2 linked regions of the Caenorhabditis elegans genome follow. The protein of the gene in region 1 interacts with the protein of each later gene in a pairwise test. Each region holds a gene or a part of one and is shown in the gene's direction. Other genes may lie near its edges. The genes, in order: F23H12.5 and gap-3.

Region 1 (7,606 bases):
AACGGATGTCGTGTCATTCAATCAACAGCTGAGCATTAGTATAATCCGTAAGCGGAATGCAATCAACAACGCTTCATTTTTCTCTGCAGTGTTATGCCAAGAATAATTCGAAAATGCGCACACCTGGCTACCAATAAGTTAGCGACCTGTGTGGTGCAATGCATATTCAATTGTATACGCGGTATCTGTCTACAGAGATGTCATTATTGAGCAATGTCTTCTGTTTTCAGATTCTGAATTTAAAATTCTTTATCACTTTTAACGACATAAGCTGCTAGAGACGTACGCCAGTCACGTAGTCGTCGTGAAGTTCGGTTTTGCTACATATCGATTGGCTGCCAATAATAATGAGTGCAATATTCGAGGGAAATCCTAAGCGTAAGCCTAAGCCTGAGCTCCATTATACTTTGAGTTTGAAAATAGTGTACGGGAAATTCCTATACTTCATTCTCTCAATTGACAGCCATGTGTTCCTTATAAACTTTTTGTTTCATGGATAGAGCAGGTGTGAAAACAGAGTGCTTTCCTCGAAAAACAATAAAACTTGGCCTCATTGACTACCCGGCGCCATTACAGAAACATGCGAGGCGCCGAAGAAAAAGATAATCTCACTAGATAAACTTTGAGGACGAAATGCCTAAAGAGACCGAGAAATGCGCAGGTTAAACACAGGGTTTTGACATCCGTGAGAATATTAATATTGAAAACGATTTGAAAAATCATCCAGAGAATGATAAATTCCGAAATTCGTTCTTTTCATCACAGCATGTGGCTTTCCTTGTCTCTTTTCTTTTTCCCAATTAACGGCTGATTCCCCATATCTCTTCACATTATTCTTATACGACTTTCACCCGAATGACCCCCTCTATCCGAAAAGAGAATTTGGATGAAAGGAAGCTAACCGACTGGAGACAACCTTTATTGAGACACACACACCGCACATCCTTTTGTCTTTCATCTACTTTTTATATTTATTCCTTTATAGAACTTTTCACTTTTTTTGTGTGAAATACAAGCAGGAACGAACATTTTGATGATTTCATTTTTATCATACTTTATTCACAGCTATCATTCTTCTTTAAATACGAAAAACTTCAGATTAGAGAATAAATTCAAATAGAGTATTTGGAAAAAAGAAGTATTCTTATGCAGTCTTGCACTCAATTTTTTTACTTTGACATCGTGTAGTTCGAATATTTTTGGTTTTATCAAAACTTTTTCAAGAAACGAAATACGCGCCAACAAATTTTCTATGATTTAATACTTCAATAATTTTTGGTAAAATTAAAGACAACCGAAATATGAGCTGTCGAAGTAGACTAAAACTGGTACCATAGGAAAATTACGGTCTTTTCATATTTCTGAAAATACAGCGAAGATTTCTTTTAAGTATTTCTAATTTGACCCACAACTTTTGTCTCTTTTAATTCTCACAAACAAATACTCAACTAAATAAATGTAACCGTTAGCCAAATAATTCAATGCCATTTTTTTTGTTTTTCTTAGAAACTCTCCAACTTCGCATTGATTGATCTTTACCTCAGATATCCGTTCCTGTCTCTTTTTACCGTCACCTTATTCGCCACTCTTCTCAAGATTTTTAAGATTTCCATCTTTTTCGAGAAACACGCTCACCGGTATCAGAAAAAAAAGAAGAAAAAATACTTGTTCCTTTTCAGGATCATCCAGAAGACATAAAAACAACGGGAAGATTCAGTTATTTCAATATTTGGAAGAATGCGGATGAAACTTCTTTTTTTATTTCTCATGTCACTTATGGCATTTACCACATCACAATATGAACCATGTAAGATTTGAAAAATGTAATTTATTGGCTGAAAATATTTAATTTTAATTTAAACATTTTGAAGCTCCAACAAACAATTCAACTTTAAAAAATATTACAAACTAAAGCTGGAGGAGCGTCAAACTTTTCATAGCCCCCAAAAAACTGAAAATGACCCTAATTTTGTTCATGAGACCTACGTATTTCAGAATTTTCAAAAAAAAAATAATCAAGATTTTTACAAAAAGGCCAAACTGACAAAAGTAATTCAGCCAAATTATTCAATTTTGAAAATTTGTACGTTTCGAAATTTTAATACCACTTTATATAGTCTTGTTCATCAAAATTTCAAAGCGCAGATTTTCCATGAAGAAAAACTTTCGAGACCATTTTGATATTTGAACACCGAGTTTAAAAATTGTTTTACATAATTATTTAAATATTTCAGTATCAGTAATATCATCGTCTTGGTCAATGTGGTCTCCGTGGTCATTTTGTTCAAATAATTTAATGATTCGTGTTCGTGCTTGTTCGACAGTCCGTGGATACAAATGTCTCGGTCATAATAAGGTAAGAATGCTTTCCCAGTTCAGGGCGTTGGTTGAGACACTAGTAATGTCACACAATTTTATCATTTTGATGTTCTCCTATCACTAACCCACATTCGTCGTTTCTCTCGACCCATTGATAATTAACGTGTCGAAAAAGGATTAACTTTTCAAGGGCGTTTAACCGAATTGTTTTTTCAATGAAGTATTTTTCAGGAATTTCAATCCTGTAACTCTCCACCAAAGAGAAATAGTTTGGATTATGAAGATCCTGAGACAGCTGATCGAGAAATGGCAATGAAACAATTATATCAAGATTATGAACCAGAAATTCCGGATGAAGCAAAGTGTTCGTTTTAAAAAATTGTTTCATAAACTGAAATTTGGAAAAAAACATTCAAAAAATCATCAAAACTTATTTTAAAAAGAAGTTTGAATGCATGTTACATTTTTACTTGGGAATCCAGTAATAATATCGATTTGACTAATTGCAAATTTAAATAATTTTTTCAATTTTCCAAAAAATTATTTTTCCAATTCTAAAAGAAAAAAATTAAATTAATTTAGATGCTCAAACTCGTGGAAATCGAAATTTTCACATGATATCTCAAACTACTGCAATGCCACCAGCTCCAAGAGGTTTTTTTAAATAGTGTTATGCTCAACAACCGATTACTTTACAGCACCGACATCTTCTCCAACTGTTTCCGCATCGACATCTGATCATTTCTCGGTGATGAATCGTGGTGGAACTGGTGTTGGAATGATGACTGATGAGGAAGAAGAATATTTTGATGAGACTGTAAAAATGTCTCCACAATCTCCAAAACCAACATATCCATCTGTTCCAAGTACATTTGAGTTTGAAAAGTATCCAAAGAGCACTGAAGAACCAACATCAACTCCTTCAACTTCAACATCTACAACTACTACAACCACAACTTCAACGACGACGACGACGACAGAAGCTCCAACAACCACAACAACAATTAAAACAACAACTGAATCAATTGAACCGATTCCACAAACCGTAACCCCAAATTCACCGAAAATTGTCGATCACGAGGCATTTGTTGAGCCAGAAGATGTGAATTTCCGTGGAAAATACACACTTGAAGAACCGCTTCCAGAAGTTTCCGTTCCAACATTTGCGGCTCCACCGGGAACTCAGACACCCGATTTTGAACTGGAAACTGAATCAACTGAAACCCCATCAACTCCATCATCGTTCCCAATTGATATGGATCCAGAAGACAGTACCGATGGGTCCACACACAGTGTTGGCTCATATTCGATTGGAAAAGAGCCAATGTGGGGAGAAGAGCCGGTTCCACTGGCTTCAAACACCCAAGCACCGTCAAGAAATATGCCAACTTTTGCCATTTCACCAAGCACTAGGCGACTTGGAGAAGTTAGACGAGCTCCTTCAACAGTGAATACACATATTGAAATGCCCATGTCTATGCTCCCATTTGTACCAACTGCAGCTGAAGAACCTCAAACTACTAGTTTCGAAGTGGAAACAACTACAGAAATTCCTCAACCATCATATCTGCAAAACCCAAGAATAGCTCTTGTCACATCTCAACAGAACTTCCAACATTTCCCAAAGCTCATGAATGAACAAAGAGCTTCACCAGGACCTTACTTTAGAACTGTTCCAAGTCCTTCCGAATATGATGAACCCACAACAACCAAGAAACCAAAAATAGTTACTGTTGAAATTACAAATAAACCATTGAAGAAGAAGAGAAGAAATAGAAGGTTGAAAAAATTAAACAGACTGGGAAAAATCAGAACAATGGCAGTACTTCCAACAGAGTACACTATTCCTGCTACTAAGCCAATGAAAGTACGAAAAATTGTATTTATAATAAAACGAATATTGTTTTACAGCCAATGCCAACTCCTGCCAAATACGAGATTCAAGAAGAAAATTTTATTGCTCCGAAGGCTACTGAACCTTCTGCCTCTGTAAGTCTTGCAATCGGAAAAGTAATGATCGATCAAAATATTTTATTCATTTTCAAAGATTTAAAATTCAAATTGTCCTTGTCATTAATATCAGTACTTGAGTTGTGGTCGGCATGTTCGATGGCTCAGTAGTAAGATGTTCCCTACTGATTATTTTGTTGTTGGCTTGGACCAAATCCAGCTTCTCTCTTTCCGTAATATCCATATCCTCCATAGTATGGGTATCCGTATCCGTAATAGCTACCGTATCCATAATAGGAAGATGGGTATCCATATCCTCCATATCCGTATCCATAGTATTGAGCATCAGTCTCAGCAACAAAAGCGCAGATGACGAGGAGAGAGACAAGAATGAGACTGAAAATTTATTGGTGAAATCTTGATTTTTTTTTAGTGTTATGGGAGAAACTTACAGTTTAGCGTTCATTTTGAGTGAAGTTTGAAGAATGAGCTAGAAAAGCTGATTGATGAATAACTCGAATACCTTTACTTTTATACTCTTTGAACTGATGTTTGCTCTGCACCCGCCGCAGGCAGTCAATTGTTTTTTCTTCATTTTTCAAACTGCCCATCGGTTTGACGCCCCAAAAATTTAGTTTGCTCAGGTTTTGACAGTTAAGAATGTAAAGGCAGAGCATCAAAGTCTAAGTTTACTCATTCCAAAGAGAATAGCCATTCACCTCACAATCAAGTCTTTTGATTTTCAGGAACCCCAGCCAACAAGGGCTTCGGAAAAAGATCGTCAAGTCTACGAGGAAAATCGAGAGCTGGAATCAAGAATAGCTGCTCTAAGAAATAAAGTGGAAATGAACAGGAAAATTCTAGCAACTATGAAAATACCAGAAGGGGTTGAGACACCAGTTGTCACAACAACTCAGAAACCATTAAAAGCATCTGAAGATTTGATGTTAGGAGGTGACACGGCTAGAGCACTTTCATGGATGATTAATGATATGGAAAGAATGGTAGATGATAAAACAAAAACTGAAGTTTCTGATCAATTACCTGTCGAGAAAATTGAAGAAGAACCAATTGGATTCAGGATAGGAGATGTAAGTTTCCTTTTTTAGCCAAAAAATAGCCAAGAATTTAATTTTAAAAATTCAAAGTTGTTTTAGATAATTTTTCTTGGAATAGCATTTGACAATTATTCTACAATATTTAAATGTTTCGGCATGCTACCATTTTTTTTAATTTTAAGATTCAGTGTCGATATATGGAAAAAAATAAATTATTCTGAAAATAAATATTAGTTGCAAAATTAAAAAAAAGATAAAACTTTTAACTTTTCAAATAAAAAAAAATTATTTTCTAAATATTAATTTTTCTGAAATTATTATCCAAACTGCCAAAAATAACTTCCGCACATTCATGCTAGAGTCCCGACCTTTTAACCGATTTTTCAAGAATTTTAAAATCTGAATTTTTCGAAAGTGAAGTTTCGTATTCCTCATTCATCTGGTTGTTTTTTTTTCAGTTTGAATCCGATGAAACAACAACTACAGTAAGCCCATTCCCATTCCCAATTCCTGAAAATGGATTTGCTCTGATTCGATCCAAGCGTGATGCTTCAACTCAATTCAAAAATGGAAAGAAAGGTAATTCGTTTTAATCAACTCCATTCTATTATCAGTTGATCTTATAGTTATCTGGTCTCCATGGAGCGAGTGGACCAAGTGTCAATGCGGCAAACAATCTCGGAAACGAAAGTGTCTCAAATATCTTGGCGGTTCAAAGTATGCGTACGATGATCGTAAGTTTGTTTGAGCTATTATTTGCCACTTTTCTCATTCTTTTTCCATCAAATTACTCCTCGTGCCAATGAATGGCCGTCCAATTATCATTAAATATTTGCACGTGATCGAAACACACTTGAGAAATAGATATCGAAAAAATTGTTGAATTGAACCTAATTGAAACCTAATGGGAGTAACAATGAACAAGAAACTTATTTATAGAAAAGTTCATTCCAATTGACCAATCTACAAACGATATTGAATTTGGTGAACCAGCAGAATTTCCAGAAGAACTTGAAGAACCAGCTCCGATGGATAGTCAAGAATATGAGAACTTAAATCGAGTAAAAAGATCACTAAAATGCCCATCACCTCAGATTGAAGTTCAATCATGTTCTTCTTCTGTTTGCTAATATTAATATTTTTTAGATCTGAAAATTTTAATTGCATTCCTTGGATTCTCAAAGCATATTTTCAAATTTCATTGTACATCACTTCCAACATCGCCCACTTTTTCTCTAATAACATAATAAGACTTCTTCAGATTTTCCATCCGCTAGCAATATGGGTATAACATGAGACATAACACACTATTTTGTAATCTGTCACGCTTTTAAAGATCATATTTTCATGTTTCTATATTTATTTTCAATTTGAAATAAATTTATAAATCTCTTTCTATTCATATGATATGTTTTCTTGTTTTCTTGAGGTGGTCTTGATTTCTAGGATTTCGTTGTTTTTATGCACTTTCTTCTTTCATTCCAAGAAGCCAGTAGGTCTGCATTACTCCTTTTCCCTGCAAGATTACGGTAGACGAGTCAATGTTTTAATTCAAACAAACCTTAATGATAACTTCTCCTCTACTTTCAGTATTGTATTCCTTGTATAATGAGGTCAATAAGTCATAACAATCAGACGATAAATGAATAAAACCCGCTGAAATATAATTTTTCAAAAGTTAAAAGTCTAGTTACAAACTAACGTTTTCCATTACTTTCCATTCGACTGGCAGTGTTCACAGTATCACCAAAAAGACAATATCTTGGCATTGTCAATCCAACAACACCTGCTACACAAGATCCAGAATGCATTCCAATTCGGATTTGAACTTTTTCTTGTGGTAAATGTGGGATTTTGAAGGCTTGAAGGCTCTGTAATGTTAAATGAAATGAGGAAAGATGATTTAAAAACTTACGTCCATCAGCTCCAAACTCATATTGGCAATATTTGCAACATGTTCCGTACCATTTCGGCGAGGTAGCCCAGAGACAACTAAATAGGCGTCGCCGATCGTTTCTACCTGGAAATAAAATCCTTATTGAACGTTATTAATTTTGTGAACTCAGTATACATCCAACAGATTTTTTTAAAATAAAATTATTTTCAAGAATTGTTTTTAAAATAAAAATTTCAACATTTTTTTTTTGAATCACGGCTTCGATCGAAATTATCCAATCTCGCTAATTTGACCGAATCTAGTTATCATTTGTTTTCACTCATATCATATGTTGATTGATTATTTTTTAAATTACTTAAAAAAATGTTTAGTCGGATACCGT
Region 2 (5,126 bases), on another chromosome or scaffold:
AGTTGAACACCGAGCCAAATTTTTAGTATAACAATTATTTTGAAAATTATATTACTAAATTACCAAAAAATTTTCCACGGAGTTCTGGTCTTCCTCGTTGAACTTTTCGCGCTCCATTGACAACCGCCTGCCGGATAACGCGTGGGAAAGTCGTGTACTCCACACGGACAAATACATTTAGTTTTACAACTAAAATCGAGCCGCGACGCGACACGCAACGCGCCGTAAATCTACCCCAGGTATGGTAGAGCCAAGATGGCCTAGTTCGGCAAAAACTCTTTTATTTCAATATATGAGGGAAGCCAGAAATCCGTGAATTTTTATTCAATTTTTTTTTTCAAAATTTTTTGTTTCAAAAAAAAAACGAAAAATTTAAAACAATTCAAATATCCTTTGAGGGCGGTAAACTTCAAAATTTAAAAAAATTTCTCAATTTTTGAATTTTAGGTTATATAACCGGTTATAAGAATTTAAAATTAAAATTCTTTTAGAAAAAAAAATATTGCAACAAAAAAAAAAAAAAAAACTTCCTCCGAGTAATAATAATTGGCAAAAAAAAAGAAAAAAAGAAGAAGCCCGGAGGAGCAGGAGCTGGTACTTGTCCCATTAATTTTCCTTTTTTTCTTCAAACAATAAAAAACAGCTGAATTTTACGGCAAAACTGCTCTAAAAATGTAAAATTTCATTGAAAAAGTAGGCGCAGCCAATACACCATGTGGTGTTTTGGCGCTGTCTCCACACGCAAGTAGTGCCAGGGGCTGTCCCAATACGGTTTGATCTACAAAAAATGCGGGAATTTTTCGCCCAAAAAAATGTGACGTCAGCACGTTCTTAACCATGCAAAATCAGTTGAAAACTATGCGTCTCTTCTCCCGCATTTTTTGTAGATCAACGTAGATCAAACCGAAATAAGAGACACTCTGACACCACGTGTACACGTTTAAACTTTTCCAGCTGTAAAAAATAAAATTTTCAAAAAAAAAACATAATTTTTAATCACATGTCTTGTTATCACTGTGTTATCTGTTATCACAACGACAATTTTTTTCACGAAAATTCTTTATTTTTAGGTATTACCCAAAATATTTGAATAAATTCCAAAACTTTCCGTGTTCTCCGTCCTCCATTTCCCACTTTCACAAATGGTCCATCATCCGAACTTCCGGTGCTCTCTCTCTCGCTGTACAAGAGACACAGAAAACCGAGAGAGAGACAGTGATTCGTGGTAGAGACGCAGACACATATACACACACACAGAAAAGTGATCTGGTGTCTGTGTGTGTGTGTGTATATTGTGAGAAAGAAGAAGAAGAAGACTGCGTGGGTGTAATAATATGCGTCCTTTTCTCCCCCCTTCTCTTTCGATTTCTTTTCTTCAACTTTTATCACTTTATTCACAACCTATTTCCTACCGTTTACCACCTTTTTTTTTGAGGAAACTTTGAATTTTTATTGAAATTGTTCAAGCTTGATTCCACGGAGTTGAAATCTACCAAATTCAAATTCCACTGCCTTCCCCGGGTTTTTTTTCCATTTCGATGGGTTTTTTAAAAAGGAATTAAAAAAAACGTTTTGTTTTCAAATTAAAAATTTAAAAAATAGACTGAAAATTAGCAAAACTGGGATTAATCCCACGGAGTTGAAATCTACGGAGTTCACTTTCCACTGCCTCCTCCGGATTTTGTATTTTTTAAACATTTTCTAGTACTTTTCGATGAAACTTTGCATTTTTTCACCTAAAATTAAAAAAAAAGTTTTCTAATTAGCTGAAAACGATAAAAATAAGAAAAAAAAAACATTTGCGGAGTTGATATCTATGGAATTCACATTCCAAAATCAGGCCAAGACAATTAAATATTGTTTTTTTTTAGCTTCCAGCGCAAATTTTCGAATTTCCAAACAAAATTTTGGTTTAAAACTCTAATTTTCTACCTGAAAATCAGGTTTTTTCATCGAAAATCATCGAAAATTAATTAAAATTCAAATTTCCCTCCATTTCCCCAGTACGTACACCGTCACGCAAAATTGCGTACCCGTCCGATTTTTCGCATTTTTTTGAATTTGTTTTCCTGTTTTTTGATGAAAATCAATAATTTTTTGGCATTTTTCAGGTGCAAATGAAAAGTTATGCACTCAAGCGAGAATACTACACCTAACAGCAGCACGGAAGGGCCATTGTTTCTAAAAGTGAGGGCGAAACAAGTGAAAATCGAGGAAAAAAAGGAAAAATTAGAAAAAATTAGAAAAATACCATTTATATTATTTATTTTCATCGAAAATCAATTATATTTACAGTTTAAAATATTCTAAAAAATCCTAAGTTAAAAAAAAGGAATTGTTTTTTCGCAGACTCACACGAACCCAACACCGCCTGATATATCGCCAAACGATGTGTGGTACCATGGGGAATTAAACGAACACGATGCCAATCATTTGCTTCAGGTTTCTTTTGCGAAAAATTACAAAAAAAATGGCAAAAAATGGCAAAAAACCGGCAAAACATTCCAGGGCACATCTCCCGGCGCGTTTTTGGTTCGGCAAACTGGCCAGACGAGATTTTATCTGTCGATATTGGATCAAGACGGCTATCCGAAACATTTACCGTTGGTTTTTAAACATAAAAATTTAAAATTCAAATTTTTTTCAGCATCCGCCAACTCACCCCACCTCACTACTTTTTCGAAGGAAAGCGTTTCGAGACCCTTCGAGATATTGTAGATGCCTATCAGCTGGCTGTGATTCCAGTTCGAAAAGGAGGAATTATGCCGATTAATGGGGTATTTTTTTGCCCCATTACGGTTTGATCTACAAAAAATGCGGGAATTTTTCGCCCAAAAACATGCCAAATCAGTTGAGAACTCTGCCGCATTTTTTGTAGATCAACTTTATTCAAGCCAAAATAAGACACTCTGACACCACGTGTGATACACCATATTTGACGCGCAAATTTTTGCATTATTGGATAATTTGTTGGATTTTAAAGTGATTTTTCAGAGAAAAAAAAGAAATTTATAATATTGCGCGTAAAATAGAGTGTCTTGAGTCTGTAATCGAGTAGATCAAATTTAACGCGCAAATTTAATTTAAAAAAACAATTAAATTACTCCATGTCTTACGAAAACACAAAATTCTGAGAATGTGTATCACACAACATATTTGACGCGCAAAATATCTCGTAGCGAAAACTACAGTAACCCTTTAATTGACTACTGTAGCGCTTGTGTCGATTTACGGAAGTCAATTATTAATCAATAAAATTAAATTTTAAAAGAAATCTCAAAAATGGCAAAAAAATACAATTCTCATTGGTTTTTTCGTTATTTTTTGCCATTTTTGTGTTTTCTTTTAAAATTTAATTTTATAGATTAATAAATGATTTCCGTAAATCGACGCAAGAGCGCTACAGTAATCATTTAAAGGGTTACTGTAGTTTTCGCTACGAGATATTTTGCGCGTCAAATATGTTGTGTAATACGCATTCTCAGAATTTAGTCTTCCCGTAATAATTTATAATTTGTGCGTCAAATATGACGAATTGGTCAGAATATCGATATACACGAATATAAAGTTTTGTAGAATTATCTGTAATAGTAGTAGTTTTTGCGCGTAAAATATGGTGTATTGAGTCCGTAATCGAGTAGATCAAATTTAACGCGCAAACATGTCCACGTGGTCTCATTTCGGTTTGATCTACTTAGATCTACAAAAAATGCGGCAGAGTTTTCAACTGATTTTGCAAAAAATTCCCGCATTTTTTGTAGATCAAAACGTAATGGGACAGTCGCTGGCACCCCGTGCATGCCGGAATTTTAATATACCATAAAATTTGTTTCCAGGAAATCCAAGAAACCAAGTACCTATGCGTTAGACGATTCGAACAACGCGAAATCGACGAAATGAACTCGGAAATCGGTGATATTCTGTCAGTTTGTGAGACCGACGAGACCGGATGGATGTTAGGACGAAATGAGACGAGCGGTTCCGTTGGAATTATTTTAAGATCACATTTGGAACCTTTGGTAGGGAAAAGTAGGAAAGACTGGAAATTTCTAACTGAAAATTTGAAAATTCTAGGAAAAAACTGATGAAAAATTACAATTTTTAAGCAAAAAAATGTTACGTTTTTTTTCACAATTTTCTACAAAAAATTTAAAAAATTAATTAAAAAAGGCGAAATTGTGCTAATATTACGGGAACACAAAATTCTGAGAATGCGTATTGCACAACATATTTGACGCGCAAAACATAAAAATATCTCGTAGCGAAAACTACAGTAACCCTTTAATTGACTACTGTAGCGCTTGTATCGATTTACGGAAGTCATTTATTAATCAATAAAATTAAATTTTAAAAGAAAACACAAAAATGGCAAAAAAAAATTACGAAATGTCATTTTTGAGTTTTCTTTTAAAATTTAATTTTATTGATTAATAAATGATTTCCGTAAATTGACACAAGCGCTACAGTAGTCAATTAAAGGGTTACTGTAGTTTTCGCTAAGAGATATTTTTATGTTTTGCGCGTCAAATATGTTGTGCAATACGCATTTTCAGAATTTTGTGTTCCCGTAATATCTAATGTAGGCTTTGGCGTACCAAATACACTTATTTTGGTACAAAATCGCGGCGAGACCCATTTATAAATTGCCTACCTAATGCCTGCCTGCTGAAAAAAAAAACAAAAAAATTTTTTTTTTTTGGTCCAAGCTGGATTTCTCCAATTTATTAACACTATTTGAGAAAATCGATAAATCTCGATTTTCGGGGGCAGAAAAATCAATAAATTAACACTATTCAAGAAAATCAATAATTTGCCAAATTTTTGGAAAATTCGATAATTCACGTGGTGTCAGATTGTCCCATTACGGTTTGATCTACAAAAAATGCGGGAATTTTTTTTCCAAAAAAATGTGGCTTCTTCAGCACGCTCTTAACCATGCGAAATCAGTTGAGAGCTCTGCCGCTTTTTTTTGTAGATCAGCGTAGATCAAGAGACACTCTACAACACCGCGTGAAATTCTCAGATTCCGTGCTTTTACAGATCACAGAGGTGGCCGATTTGTCGGATCTACCGTACTTCTACGATACAGTATCCACGGACATGGTGCAATACAGCCCCATTGGCAC

The links.
Region 2: the proteins of F23H12.5 (region 1) and gap-3 interact in a two-hybrid assay, tested with the Caenorhabditis elegans proteins (one large-scale study listed by BioGRID).

Annotation. Positions count from the first base shown.
Region 1 is NC_003283.11:12,356,968-12,364,573, forward strand, and holds F23H12.5 (Flocculation protein FLO11), read left to right. Parts: upstream 1-1,679; 5' UTR 1,680-1,737; coding exon 1,738-1,807; intron 1,808-2,234; coding exon 2,235-2,356; intron 2,357-2,550; coding exon 2,551-2,683; intron 2,684-2,901; coding exon 2,902-2,973; intron 2,974-3,017; coding exon 3,018-4,186; intron 4,187-4,230; coding exon 4,231-4,308; intron 4,309-4,333; exon of another isoform or gene 4,334-4,451; coding exon of another isoform or gene 4,452-4,665; intron 4,666-4,721; coding exon of another isoform or gene 4,722-4,735; exon of another isoform or gene 4,736-4,777; intron 4,778-5,015; coding exon 5,016-5,360; intron 5,361-5,785; coding exon 5,786-5,906; intron 5,907-5,953; coding exon 5,954-6,061; intron 6,062-6,266; coding exon 6,267-6,457; 3' UTR 6,458-6,786; coding exon of another isoform or gene 6,787-6,843; 3' UTR 6,844-6,888; downstream 6,889-7,606. Other genes in the region: fipr-1 (FIP (Fungus-Induced Protein) Related), read right to left, coding at 4,452-4,665, 4,722-4,735; Receptor-type guanylate cyclase gcy-13, read right to left, coding at 6,787-6,843, 6,889-6,983, 7,030-7,198, 7,243-7,347.
Region 2 is NC_003279.8:2,007,481-2,012,606, reverse strand, and holds the start of gap-3 (SH2 domain-containing protein), read left to right. Parts: upstream 1-2,081; 5' UTR 2,082-2,127; coding exon 2,128-2,187; intron 2,188-2,349; coding exon 2,350-2,442; intron 2,443-2,508; coding exon 2,509-2,603; intron 2,604-2,647; coding exon 2,648-2,777; intron 2,778-3,836; coding exon 3,837-4,019; intron 4,020-5,040; coding exon 5,041-5,126.